Linked DNA regions of Macaca fascicularis. The protein of the gene in region 1 purifies or fractionates together with the protein of each later gene. This does not show direct contact. Links are inferred from orthologs where the notes say so. Each region holds a gene or a part of one and is shown on either strand. Other genes may lie near its edges.

The links. Proteins that work in one complex are often made in the same cells at the same time.
Region 2: the proteins of YWHAE (region 1) and MARK3 purify together in Homo sapiens (affinity purification with mass spectrometry; 9 studies listed by BioGRID and IntAct, with this or other methods). This does not show direct contact. The link is inferred for Macaca fascicularis from reciprocal best matches to the Homo sapiens genes YWHAE and MARK3.

The regions. Positions count from the first base shown.
Region 1 is NC_088390.1:1,502,873-1,510,970, reverse strand, and holds the start of YWHAE (14-3-3 protein epsilon), read left to right. Parts: upstream 1-2,678; 5' UTR 2,679-2,790; coding exon 2,791-2,854; intron 2,855-8,098. UniProt on the Homo sapiens protein: Adapter protein implicated in the regulation of a large spectrum of both general and specialized signaling pathways. Binds to a large number of partners, usually by recognition of a phosphoserine or phosphothreonine motif.
Region 2 is NC_088381.1:171,674,971-171,681,114, forward strand, and holds the end of MARK3 (MAP/microtubule affinity-regulating kinase 3), read left to right. Parts: intron 1-2,064; coding exon 2,065-2,410; 3' UTR 2,411-3,013; downstream 3,014-6,144. UniProt on the Homo sapiens protein: Serine/threonine-protein kinase. Involved in the specific phosphorylation of microtubule-associated proteins for MAP2 and MAP4. Phosphorylates the microtubule-associated protein MAPT/TAU. Phosphorylates CDC25C on 'Ser-216'.

The DNA of each region.
Region 1 (8,098 bases):
GCCTGGGCCACAGAGCGAGACTCCATCTCAAAAAAAAAAAAGCTGCAATCTGATCAGCTACCTGTGGCTTCCTTCTATAGTGCCATTCCTATTTATCCTTTCCTTTCTATTTTCATTGCTCCCATCTATTATCTTTGGTTATCCTCCTCTTTAATCATTGCTATGGAATATTTGTTAATATTTCTGAAATATAACTATGATGGTGTCATTCTCCATGCAAAATCATACAGCTCCCTTGGCCACAAAATAAGATGCACAGGGCCGGGCGTGGTGGCTCACGCCTGTAATCCCAGCACTTTGGGAGGCCGAGGTGGGCAGATCACAAGGTCAGGAGATCGAGACCATGGTGAAACCCCGTCTCTACTAAAAATAGAAAAAATTAGCCGGGCGCAGGGGCGGGTGCCTGTAGTCCCAGCTACTCGAGTGGCTGAGGCAGGAGAATGGCGTGAACCCGGGAGGCGGAGCTTGCAGTGAGCCGAGATTGCGCCACTGCACTCCAGCCTGGGCGACAGAGCGAGACTCCGTCTCAAAAAAAAAAAAAAAAAAAAAGATGCAAAGTTGGGTACGTTGGTGCAAGCCTGTAGTCTCCCAGCTACTCGGGAGGCCAAGGTGGGATTGCTTGAGCTCAGTTTAAGACCAGTCTGTGCAACATGGCAAGATCCCTCCCTATCCCCACTTTATTTTTTGAGACAGGGTTTTGCTCTGTTACCCAGGCTGGTGAACACTGGTGCAATCACAATTCACTGCAGCCTCAACCTCTTGGACTCAGGAGATCCTCCTGCTTCAGCCTCTGAAACTGCTAAGATATGGCCGGGCGTGGTGGCTCACACCTGTAATCCTAGCACTTTGGGAGGCCTAGGCGGGCAGATCACGAGGTCCGGAGATCGAGACCATCCTGGCTAACACAGTGAAACCCCATCTCTACTAAAAACACAAACAATTAGCTGGGCGTGGTGGCACGTGCCTGTAGTCCCAGCTACTCAGGAGGCTGAGGCAGGAGAATCGCTTGATCCCAGGAGGTGGAGGTTGCAGTGAGCTGAGATCCCAGCACTACACTCCAGCCTGGGCAACAGAAGGAGATGCCGACTCAAAAAAATAAAAATAAAAGGTTTTTGTAGACATGAGGTCTTACTATGTTGCCCAGGCTGGTCTCAAACTCCTGGGCTCAAGTCATCCTTCTGCATGGGCCTCCCAAGTGCCAGGCACCGAAGCGATGTTCACTGAGTTATTCCTGCCTCCACAATCTTAATTTGATCTTGGTCCAACTCTTCTGTACCCTGTACTCCACACCATCCTCATCTAACAAATTCCCTGCTCCTATTCATGGTGGGCCTAGGGAGGAAAAAAGGTTAAATAGGAGGAGAAGAAAAAGATCAGTGTGAGGGGAAAGTTGATGCGTCACAACTGGAGCTCCCCTGTCCCTGACTACAACAGGACCCAGTTCTTTTTTTTTTTGAGATGGAGTTGTGCTCTTGTTGCCCAGGCTGGTGTGCAATGGTGTGATCTTGGTTCACTGCACCCTCCGACTCCCTGGTTCAAGAGATTCTCCTGCCTCAGCCTCCCAAGCAGCTGGGATTACAGGCGTGCACCACCACACCCAGCGAATTTTTGTGTATATATATATATATTTTTTTCTTTTGAGACAGTCTCGCACTGTCGCCTGGGCTGGAGTGCAATGGGGGGATCTCAGCTCACTGTAACCTCTGCCTCCCGGGTTCAAGAGATTCTCCTGACTTAGCCTCCTGAGTAGCTGGGATTACAGCCATGTACCACCACGCCCAGCTAATTTTTTGTATTTTTAGTAGAGACGGGGTTTCACTATGTTGGCCAGGCTGGTCTCGAACTCCTGACCTTGTGATCCGCCCGCCTTGGCCTCCCAAGGTGCTGGGGTTACAGGTGTGAGCCACTGCGCCCGGCCAGGGCCCAGTTCGTTACCCTGAGTGTAAAAGTGTCTGAAATGGGCCCATGACCAGGAGTGGCGGAGAAACCCAGGACGCGGGCCGGGCGCGGTGGCTCACTCCTGTAATCCCAGCGCTTTGGGAGGCCGAGGTGGGCGGATCACCTTGAAGTCGGGAGTTCGAGACCAGCCTGACCAACATGGTGAAACCCCGTCTCTATTAAACATACAAAAGGTAGCTGGGCTTGGTGGCGGGCGCCTGAAATCCCAGCTACTCGGGAGGCTGAGGCAGGAGAATCACTTGAACCCGGGAGGCAGACGTTGTGTTGAGCCGAGATCGCACCACTGCACTCCAGCCTGGGGAACAAGAGCGAAACTCCGTCTCAAAAAAAAAACAAAAACACAAAAGGAAACCAGGACACGGTAGTGACAGCCGCTGCTTTCGGGGAGGAAGACCTGCCATGACAGAAACCGTTAGCGCCTCAGTCGTTCTCTTCCGCAGGTCGGGCCTCGGGCCCAGGTTTCCCGCCGGCTTTTTTCAGGAGCAGTCCCGGCCGGCCCCGCCTCAGCCCTTCCCGTTCCCCGGGGGCCGCTCCCTCTCAGCAGTCGCAGTTCCCGCCTCTGGGCTCCGGCGCCCGCTGAGCCGACGGAGGAGGGGCGTCTCCTGCGCTGGTTCCAGCCTCTTCGGGCGCCGAGTTCCAGGACCCGCCCCCCGCGCCAGTTGCCAGGGAGCGGTTGCCATAGAGCTGAGCAGTTGTCCGCGTGCGCAGGCGGAAGTCCCGGATTGAGGCGCCGCCATTTTTGCTGCCCGGACGCGGAGCGAGAGGCTGAGAGAGTCGGAGACACTATCCGCTTCCATCCGTCGCGCAGACCCTGCCGGAGCCGCTGCCGCTATGGATGATCGAGAGGATCTGGTGTACCAGGCGAAGCTGGCCGAGCAGGCTGAGCGATACGACGGTGAGTTGGGGGGGCAGCGGGGGGCTGGAATTCTCGTTCCCTCTGCCGCCGCCCACAGAGGCCGGGAACAGGAGACAAAATGGCGGCATCGTCTGCGAGCCTGGCCCGGGGGCTTGGGTTCGGGAAGCAGGAAATGGCCTGGGAGCTCCCGGGGCAATGGGAGGCTGTATGCCTTGGAATGTGACCCCTTCGCCGTCCTTAACTGCAAACAACTCGCGGGCCGGGAGGCCGGGGAGACGGGGTGGAGGAGTTGGTTGTAAAATGGCGGCTGGGGGGAGGGCGAGTCTCGGGGCGGGGGAGGGGGAGGAGATGGCGGGTGCTGTCTCCGAACGAGCAGCCCTCAGGGGAGCTTCTGGGACGGTCTTGGGATGTGGAGAACAATTGGGTGCGGTGACGGGGGAAGCAGCACCCGCCACATGGGAGAGAGCGGAGACCGGGAGCTGTAGCGCGGGCGCCTTTCAGGGAAATATGGCGGGTGGGGGCGGTGGCTTTTCCCCGGAGGCCCCGTGTGGGGCGGCGGCCGTGGAGTCTCACAAAGGAGAAGCCTTCAGAGCGATGGGCTTCCTCAGGCCTGAGGCGGGGGACAGTCCCGGGTGATGGTGGGGGGAGAGGGGTGAGCGGGAATCACTGCGGTTCGTCTGGGGCGGTGGCAGGCGCCGACGCTGCGATCGGGTTTCTCTCCCGTGGGCCGGCACCTCGTAGTGAGGGGGTTTGGGGCTTTTCCTCCTCGCCGCCTGCTGGGGAGGCCCAGAAAACCCTCACTCCCTCCCCTTTCCTCAGACTTAAAACGGGAGACCTCGAAGTTCCTGTAACCTTTCTCTGACTGCATCACCAGTGGGTTCTGATGGATAGAAGCAGGAGACCAGGAGGCCACGACTCTGAGAGTTCGAGCCTTTGTAGGGCCCGAGCCTCAGTCCACCCGTTTGTAAAAACGATGACTTTACAGTTTGTGCGCACCATCATGACACATGGAAAGACCTGTTGAAATAAAGTTATTTCCAATAGTGTTCAGTCACTGTATTTTGGTTGACTCTGCAGGCTCGGGATGCTGGTCTGTACTTCGTGGGGGAGCTTAACCTATTCCAGGCACTCGGCTGAGGCTGGGGTTTTTGAGTTATGAAGGTTGGAGATCCTGTTGCTTTCTTTTTTTCCATTTCAAATAAATGGGTTTATGTAGAAATTTTAGTAGTTCCTCTTTGTTCGTTGTTCCTTTGCCCATAACGGGTTCTCCAGTCCTTTTTCATAACTTTATCGAAATATCCATTGTGTCTGTCTAGTCATTGTCAGGAAGTTTATTCTTAGTCCTCCCTCCCAGTCCACCTTTTGAAATACCCTCACATTTATAATTGTGCGATACTGTAGTATTAAAGGAAAAGTCATGTATGTGGGTCCTGTGGTTTTAATGCTTTTGTGTGGTAGGGTGGGATGAGACATGGTTGGAATCAAGTATCTTTGATCCTTAGATTTTTCCTGATTAAGCTACCTGTATTTCAAAATGTTGTGTAGGGCCGTTGCTTTCCTGGAAATGCAGATTTAGTCATGTGAATAACCTCAGGGCTACTCCCCCTTATCAGAAACGAGGATTCAGGGATTTGAAAATAAGACAAGGCCTCTAGAAGTCAAATTTGGAATAATACTAAACTAAATTTCGTCTTGTAAATTGTTAAATTGCTATTTGTATTGAACAAGATTCCTGTTGGGAGAGGGAGGGGAATTAGGTGGGGAAGTGCAGCTCAAGGTCAGCTTTGTCTTTATTTCAGTGTTTAAAAATCAAACAGATAAAGATGTGCTTGTATTGGAAGTCTCCTCCTCCGCTCCTCATCTCCAGATGTTCCCCTCTTCATCTATTAGTGTTCTTGGGAGGAAACAAATTATACTTGAATGCTTTCTGTTTTGTGGGCATTGGAGCTCTGAGTAAACTTGCTGTGATAACTAGAAAGGATGTGAGAGAAGGTCTTTTTTTTGAAAGCTCCTTTAAAAAACCGATTTGAAAGCTTATGATTGTAGTTTCCAATTAAATGACAGGTTAGTGATAATTATATTTTTGATGTGAGTGGTGAAGATTTCTGACCAGAGCCCTTACTGGTTATTGAACATAGGACTCTGATAAAGCCACATCCTTACAGTTGTTAATGTTAGGTGTCCCCTTCAGGATCTAAAGGGGTAAGGAAATAGAATCTGCAAGGTGAGGAGCTATTCCTGTGACTTGGGGCATATGGTAGGGATTCAGTAGAAAGGAGAGGAGGAGAAGGAGACAGACACCAGGAATTTCTACCTGTGTCCTCTGCCTGTGTCCATTCCTTTATTGAGTGCAATATTTTTTTGTTTCTGGGACGAAGTGTTGCCGGAGTCCTGGTCACCAAACAGAATTTAGCAGGTGTCGGTGGTGGAAGAAGGTAAGACAGTATATTAGCAGGATTTCTTTGTTGGATACTTGTACCCAAATGCTGGTTTTCCAGCTGCTCTTTTATCTTTCTGTTAACTGCAGTAGGCCTATTTTATTTTGCTTGCTGTGTTGAATTAATGCCTAAACTTACATGTACCCTCATTTAATTCTATCCTGGGGCGTTGGAATCAATTTATATGGATTATTTAATGGTACGGGAGGAAGAGCTAAGCTGTATTCAGGAAAAGGACACTTTAATGTCACAGGAAATATTTAAGTTTGGGGCCAGGAGGTGAGGATTAAATCTAGCATCTCATCACTTTAACAAGCCAGTAGTCTAAGGAATCATTTTTACGTCCTTTGAAACCGTATTAAGCAAGTCCATTATTTCTTAATATTTCTCAAATATTGTTTGAGAATGTATATGAATTAATATAAAATGAATAGTATATATGAATTAGTACAAAAAAGTGGGGAATAGGCCCGGCGCAGTGGCTCACGCCTGTAATCCAGCACGTTGGGAGATCAAGGCGGGTGGATCACCTGAGGTTGGGAGTTTAAGACCAGCCTGGCCAACAAATTATCTGTGCATAGCTACTGAGGAGGTTGAGGTGGGAGAATCACGAACCCAGGAGGTGAAGGTTGTAGTGAGCCAAGATTGTGGCATTACACTACAGCCTGGGCGACAGAGCGAGACTCTTGTCTCCAAAGATAAAAAAAAAAAAGAAAGAAAGAAAGTGAGGCTAGGTGCGGTGGCTCATGCCTATAATCCCAGTACTTTGGAAGTCTGAGGCCAAGGCGGGCAGATCACCTGAGGTCAAAAGTTCAAGACCAGCCTTACCAACATGGAGAAACCCCATCTCTACTAAAGATACAAAATTCTCTGGGGGTGGTGGGTGCCTGTAATCCCAGCTACTTGAGAGGCGGAGGCAGGAGAATCACTTGAACCTGGGAGGCCGAGATTGCAGTGAGCCAAGATCACGCCATTGCAGTCCAGCCAGGGCAACAACAACAACAAAAAATGGGGAATGTAGAGGGGAAAAATGAATAGTTTCCCCGTTTTGGGGGAGCAGAGGGGCAACATAAACTACATTTGGGCTTGTGGAGCAGTTGTTGGTTTTGTGTCTTCCCTGTCAAATTGGCTCCATGGAAGGTAGGGTGAAGTTTTGATGGTCATGTTGGATTCAGTAGGAATGCGTCTGTTGTGTTATTTACTTGAGAGCTGTCTTTTTTTTTCCCTCCGCCTCCCGGGTTCAAGCGATTCTCCTGCCTCACCCTCCCGAGTAGCTGGGACTACACCATGCCAGACTAATTTTGTTTTTTTTTTTGTTTTTTTTTTTAGTAGAGACACAGTTTCTCCATGTTGGTCAGGCTGGTCTTGAACTCCCAACCTTAGGTGATCAGCCCACGTCGGCCTCCCAAAGTGCTGACATTACAGGCCTGAGCCACTGCAACCGGCTGAGAGCTGTCTTTTTTTTTTGAGGTGGAGTCTTGCTCTTGCTGCCCAGGCTGGAGTGCAATAGCACGATCTTGGCTCACTGCAACCTCCACCTCCTGGGTTCAAGCGATTCTCCTGCTTCAACTCCAAGATTACAGGTGTCTGCCACTATACCCGGCTAATTTTGTATTTTTAGTAGAGGTGGGGTTTTGCCATGTTGACGAGGTTGATCTCGAACTCCTGACCTCAGGTGATCCGCCCGCCTCAGCCTCCCAAAGTGCTGGGATTACAGGCCACCGCTGAGAGCTGTCCTTTTAAAACACCAGAGCCTCACCTCTAGCTAGCTTATTCTGCTGGTTAGTGAAGAATAGGGAAGGGAGCATGTGCGGAATGAACTTTTTAAAAACTATGGTCTTGTTAGGGAAAAAGTAGGTAGTAGTAAATTAACTTTGTTAATAAGTTTAGAAGCATTTAGATTACCCATTCTTTGACTGTAGGCCAGTAATTTTCCATTGCCATTTCAGTTAATGGAGTAACTTTATGGAATAAAGTTTTTCTCCTTCTTAAATGCATAGGCAGAACTGGGTAATGTGTTAAAAATCCCTTCTGGCCGGGCGCAGTGGCTCACGCCTGTAATCCCAGCACTTTGGGAGGCTGAGGCGCGCGGATCACAAGGCCAGGAGATCGAGACCATCCCGGCTAACACGGTGAAACCACGTCTCTACTGAAAACACAAAAAAGTAGCTGGGCATTGTGGCGGGCGCTTGTAGTCCCAGCTATTTGGGAGGCTGAGGCAGGAGAATGGCGGGAACCTGGGAGGCGGAGCTTTCAGTGAGCCGAGATTGCGCCACTGCACTCCAGCCTGGGTAACAGAGCGAGACTCTTGTCTCAAAAAAAAAAAAAAAAAAAAAATCCCTTCTATGGCCGGTCACAGTGTCTTGCACCTCTAATCCCAGCCCTTTGGGAGGCGAAGACAGGTGGATCACAAGGTCAGGAGTTCAAGACCAGCCTGACCAACATAGTGAAACCCTGTCTCCACTAAAAACACACAAAAAAACTAGCTGGGAGTAGTAGCGGTCACCTGTAATCCCAGCTGCTTGGGAGGCCGAGGCAAGGAGAATCACTTGAACCCAGGAGGCGGAGGTTGCAGTGAGCCAAGATTGCACCATAGCACTCCAGCCCAGGCAACAGAGCGAGACTTTGTCTCAAAAAGAAAAAAAAGAAAAAAAAAGAATCCCTTTTACAGGTAGTACTTAGCCTGTGTATTTAAAACAGATGCTCTTTTGTGTATCCTTTAGGTGTTTTTGTAAAATTGTATATATCTGGCATATTGTATTTGGTTGTCTCTCACAAGTTTGCGATATATGAAATCAAGAATTCCTGCAATTTGCAGTGAAGGGTAAATTTTTAACTACTGTGG
Region 2 (6,144 bases), on another chromosome or scaffold:
CAGGCTGGTCTCAAACTCCTAGGCTCAGGTGAACCTCCCACCTTGACCTTCCAAAGTGCTGGGATGACAGACATGAGCTGCTGCGCCTGGCCTTGCTTTTCCATTTTGTGTAGTTATCATTGCATGGATTTACAGGGGGGCCAGTCACCAGGTAATCTTAGGACTCTGTGTCCGTAGTTCTAGATCTCTTCCACTTCTGCCCTTTTTTATGCCAGTCACCAGCAGGCTATTTCAGGTCCTCATTCACCATTTGTCTTTTAGGTCTTTTTAAAAGCCCACTTCTGGTCATATGACCTCTGAATTAAAACTTTCAGTGACCTCCACTATTTCACCCGGCCACATCCCTGCGAGGCCCTGAGTGGCGTGGTCCAGGCTGCCCCAGCAGCCCAGCTCCGCTGCCCCATCAAGGCGGAGCATTGGGGTGAGTGCCAGGCAGCATTCCCCCTCCAGGCCTGCCCATCCCAGCCAGTAGCAGGCTCTAGATCCTGGTTTGTTTCCCCACCCATAATAGGAAGGTGAGATAATAGGGCCTACATGGACATCAAGTAAGTTGGGGCCTGACCACCACAAGTACTCATTAAGTGCCACCAGCTGTTGTGGGGGTGATGACACTGTGCCTCCAGTTCCACTCAGTCTGTGTACTTTATTATGCCACAGACACATCCTGTACTTTCCTACCTCCCCTTTGGCTGTGATCCCCTGTACTCAAAACAAAAACTCTTTCCTGTCTTCATTGCATTTTGTTGAAATCCCATGGCTCTTCATAGCTCTCCTCAGATGCAGGCCCACTCCCACCCGTGCCATTTCCTGCTTGTCTCATCCTGCCTGTCACACTCTCCTGTCACACTGCTAGGTGGGCTCCACCTCTTCTGCAGCCCTCTAGGGGATGGCCAGCCTTTCCTGTGCTGCCACTGTTGCCTCACCTTACAGTCTTCCTGGCTCCAGATTAGTTTGAGAGCTTTTGCTTATCTTTGTAACCCATTTAGTATCTAATGTGGCATTTTATACATAGGAAGCTTCTCATCAGTATTGGTGGATGTGAACCAAATTGAACACTAGCAGGTTGGTGACACGGAGAGCTATGTGCATATGTAAAAACTGTAGCCCCTCACCTCTGATTAGTTGGCCATAGGATGGAGTATACTTAAGGTACATAGACTGTTTTACTCCCAAGAGTGCTAGTCACTCACTGTCTTAATTGAGGCCACCAGATACACACATGAGAATGTAAATAACGGCTTGTGGCAATAATGACTAAATGCCAAAGAATGGCCGGTAAACCATGGTGGTCCCTAGAGACCCAGGCCTGGGCCATACTCATGCTGCGTCTTGGGCATCCAGACCAAGGCTTACATTCTGAATCCGCAGGGCATCCACATGGGTGGTGTCAGTCCTCCACAGACAGAGAAGTGTCCCATTGCATTTTTCCATCTATTCCAGTAGTAAGATTGTGTCATCTAAGATTTTTGCTTTAACTGTATAACTGGACATTTAATTAACAAACCAGAGAAGAGGAAAGACAATGAGGTGGGTAGAGCATCATGTTCAGCCTTAGGGCCGTTCACAGAGAAAGCAATTTTAGACTGCGGGTGTTGAGTCTCCAGTTACCCTGAGTGCCAGTTACAGTGATTTACATCTGAAGGAACTGTCGCAGGAGAGGGACAGCCCAGGGTGGATGGGTGAGGTGGGCAGGAACTGGCTGCCAACTCCCTCCCTGAGCTGGGCCTGCAGAGCCCTGAGTGGAGGAGTGGGGCACGCTGTCCCCTTTGCCTGATTTCCAAGGATTCTGTTTAACCAATTACTTTCTTCATTTTAGTAAGCACAGGTGGCTGGTGAAGATTTTACAGCCAGGTAGATCTTTTTGTGTGTGACTTATGACTTTTAGAGGGTGGGGGAAGAAAATAGACGAAAATAGATTTAGTTACAATTGTGAGTCTGTGCAGGAAAATGTGGAGGTCAGTCGTTAGTTGTGTTGTATTGAAGATGTGAATGAGGAACTAGCTGAAGTGTAAGAGGTTGATTTTCCTGTACGATTAAAAATAAACCTGCCTCTGTGCATTTCAGTCGCAATGTATCTGCTGAGCAAAAGGATGAAAACAAAGAAGCAAAGCCTCGATCCCTACGCTTCACCTGGAGCATGAAAACCACTAGTTCAATGGATCCCGGGGACATGATGCGGGAAATCCGCAAAGTGTTGGATGCCAATAACTGCGACTATGAGCAGAGGGAGCGCTTCTTGCTCTTCTGTGTCCACGGTGATGGGCACGCAGAGAACCTCGTGCAGTGGGAAATGGAAGTATGCAAGCTGCCAAGACTGTCTCTGAATGGGGTCCGGTTTAAGCGGATATCGGGGACATCCATAGCCTTCAAAAATATTGCTTCCAAAATTGCCAATGAGCTAAAGCTGTAACCCAGTAATTATGATGTAAATTAAGTAGCAATTAAAGTGTTTTCCTGAACACTGATGGAAATGTATAGAATAATATTTAGGCAATAACGTCTGCATCTTCTAAATCATGATATTAAAGTCTGAGGACGAGAGCACGCCTGGGAGCGAAAGCTGGCCTTTTTTCTACGAATGCACTACATTAAAGATGTGCAACCTATGCGCCCCCTGCCCTACTTCCATTGCCCTGAGAGTCAGCGTGTGGCCCCATCTCCATGTGCCTCCCGCCTGGGTGGGTGTGAGAGTGGACAGTATGTGTGTGAAGTGGTGTGTATGAAAGCATCTCCCTGCACTGCAGCCAGTCATTACTGGTGCCTCTGCAGGAGATCATGTGGTGCTAAAACATTACACTTGCCAGGGAGGAGAATACTGAGTTACTGCCAAGAATTAACCGTAAGACTAGTTCATAGTTAATACAGGTTTACAGTTCATGCCTGTGGTTTTGTGTTTGTTGTTTTGTGTTTTTTTAGTGCAAAAGGTTTAAATTTATAGTTGTGAACATTGCTTGTGTGTGTTTTTCTAAGTAGATTCACAAGATAATTAAAAATTCACTTTTTCTCAGTAAAATCTTGCATTGTCTCCTAATACTGTATTTAACACACCCTCAAGTTGAGCAAAAGGAATGTGTATGAAGGTTTGGGGTCACGTGGACCTTAGCAGGGATCCCAATGTTTTGTGATTACCAGCATATTTTTTCTCCCAAGGCAATAAAGGGAGAAGACGGCCCTCATGGTGACCCAAGAAGGAAGGGAATCCAGAGCAGCTGCAGCTTAACCCTGGGAGTTGTTGCTCAGCCCTATGGAGAAACACCAGGTCTTGACGGTTCTGGGTTGGTTCTCTGTGAAGTATGTAAATTTCTTTTTGCCTTTCTTGTGATTCACTACATGAATCAGACCTGCAGCTTTTGTCCAACACCTACATGGTTGTGTAGGGGTAATGAGCTCATCACTCATTGTGTTACTTTATTCTCACAGGGAAGTTGTCACACTGGTGTGCTATTTTGGGTTCTGGGTTTGTTGTTGGTCAGAGTATGGAAGTCTGGAGGCCGGGCACTGTGGCTTACAGATGTGAGCCCAGCACTTTGGGAGGCTGAGGCCGGAGGATCATTGAGTCCAGTAGTTCAGGACCAGCTTGGGCAACATGGCAAGACCCCATGTCTTCAAAAAATAAAAACATTGGCCAGGCGCGGTGGCTCATGTCTGTAATCCCAGCACTTTGGGAGGCTGAGACGGGCAGATCACGAGGGCAGGAGATCAAGACCATCCTGGCTAACACGGTGAAGCCCCATCTCTACTAAAAATGCAAAAAATTAGGCGGGCGTGGTGGTGGGCGCCTGTAGTCCCAGCTACTCAGGAGGCTGAGGCAGGAGAATGGCGAGAACCTGGGAGGCGGAGCTTGCAATGAGCCAAGATGGTGCCACTGCACTCCAGCCTGTGCAACGAGTGAGACGCCGTCTCAATAATAATAATAATATAGGCCGGGCGCGGTGGCTCAAGCCTGTAATCCCAGCACTTTGGGAGGCCGAGACGGGCGGATCACAAGGTCAGGAGATCGAGACCATCCTGGCTAACATGGTGAAACCCCGTCTCTACTAAAAATACAAAAACTAGCCGGGCGAGGTGGTGGGCGCCTGTAGTCCCAGCTACTCCAGAGGCTGAGGCAGGAGAATGGTGTGAACCCGGGAGGCGGAGCTTGCAGTGAGCTGAGACCCGGCCACTGCACTCCAGCCTGGGCGACAGAGCGAGACTCCGTCTCAAAAAAAAAAAAAATAATAATAATAATAATAATATAAATAAATAAATAAATACATCAACCAAGCATGGTGGCGCACCTGTGGTCCCAGCTTTTCGAGATGCTGAGGTGGGAGGCTTGAACCCGGGAGGTTGAAGCTGCAGTGAACTGTGATTGTGCACAGCACTCCAGCCTGGGCAACAGAATGAGACCCTGTCTCAAAAAAAAAAAGAAAAAGGAAAGAGAATCTGGACAGTCAATCAGTCAGAAATATTGTTGTCTGTCTCTAGAGTGGGCAAGGCACTGTTCTGATTGTTTGAGATCCTCAGTGAGCAAAACAGACCCCTCTCTCCTTGAGCCTGACTTTCTAGGCAGTGGATAAACAAGTAAATTACCTAGTATGGAGCACAGCAGCACGTGCGAGAAAGCACAGAGCAGGCACGGGGTGCATCAGCACTCTGGGTGGGAATAGGTCTCCTTGGGCAGAGCCTGGGTGGGCGCGTTCCCACAGATTTCTGGGGAAGAGCACTGCTTGGGCCTGAGGCCTGAGTGCACGGCGTGCCTGGAGCAGAGTGTGGAGATGCTGAGATGCTTCTCCTGCATGGGAGCAGCTGAGGGAATGACAAGAGCCTTGTGGCCTTGGGCTTTCAGAGGATCACCCCGGCAGCTATGCTGGAACTCACTGAAATGGGACAAGGAGAAGCTGGGAAAGCCGCCTGGAGGCTCTCAGCAGCAATACAGGCAAGAGGTAGTGCAGCCTTGGGTGAGGATGGGCCTTGGCGCGGGTGGTGGTTGGGTTTTGGATATGTTTTGAAGTAAGAGGCAACTGCATTTGCCCTGGAGTTGGATATGGGGTGAGTAGAGCCAAGGACAGCTTCATGATTTTTGATCCGAACAGCAGAAAGGCCAGAATTGCTGTTAGTTGAGATGCGGAATGTGGCTGTAGAGATGTTGGGGGACAGGAGGGGAAGAAGATGAGGAGAGCAAGCTGGGATGTGTTGAGTTTGAAGTCCCTTTAAACACTGAGTGGTGACATCTAGTGGGCAGTTGGAGAGGGGCTGGGAGAGGTCGGGTCTGGGAGATGGAGGAGAAGCCAGGACTGAGTCCTGGACACAGCGCGAGGAGGGGGCCCGGGGAGAAGAGGTGAAGCTGGTAAGGCAGCAGCAAGGAGGGAGGGCCCTCCAGGTGTCAGAGGCAGGTGGACATCATGACCTAAGGCTCACCTCGTGGGAACTTTCCAACTTTTAGCAAGTAAGTCCCCTTCCCTGTCTCTGTCCAGTGCCTTTCAGAGTGGAGTCCTCTAGCAGAGCTCAGTGTGCCCAGTCACAGACAGTGAGGACTTCCCCAGCCTTTTCTGCCTGGTGCAATCTGGTTTTTATATCCCATTAAAGCATCACAAAGCCAACCCGGACAAGAGAATTTGGGTGTCTCTCTGCACACATGAGCCTCTTTAAGGAGATCTCCACACAGACTTCTCTCCCCCTTAGCTGTCGTTTTCTGTCACTGTCCCTTCTGAGCATTAAACCAAGGAGAAGATGTTCTGCCATAAATTACTTCCTTCTCTGGGTAGATGTTTCTGAGCTGTTCTGTGAAATTCATGACTATGAAACTGGCTTCCTACCCCAAGGCCGGGCGTGGTGGCTCACACCTGTAATCCCAGCACTTTGGGAGGCCGAGGCGGGCCGATCACTTGAGGTCAGGAGTTTGAGACCAGCCTGGCCAACATGGTGAAACCCCATCTCTACAAAAATATTTTTAAAAATTAGCCAGGCCTGTGGCGCACGCCTGTAATCCGAGCTACTCAGGAGGCAGAGACAGGAGAATTGCTTGAACCCAGGAGGCGAAGGTTGCAGTGAGCCGAGATCGTGCCATTACACTCAAACCTAGGCGACAGAGTGACACTTCATCTCAAAAACAAACAAACAAAAGATTCGTACCCCAGAAACACTCATCACAGCAGGTTCCTG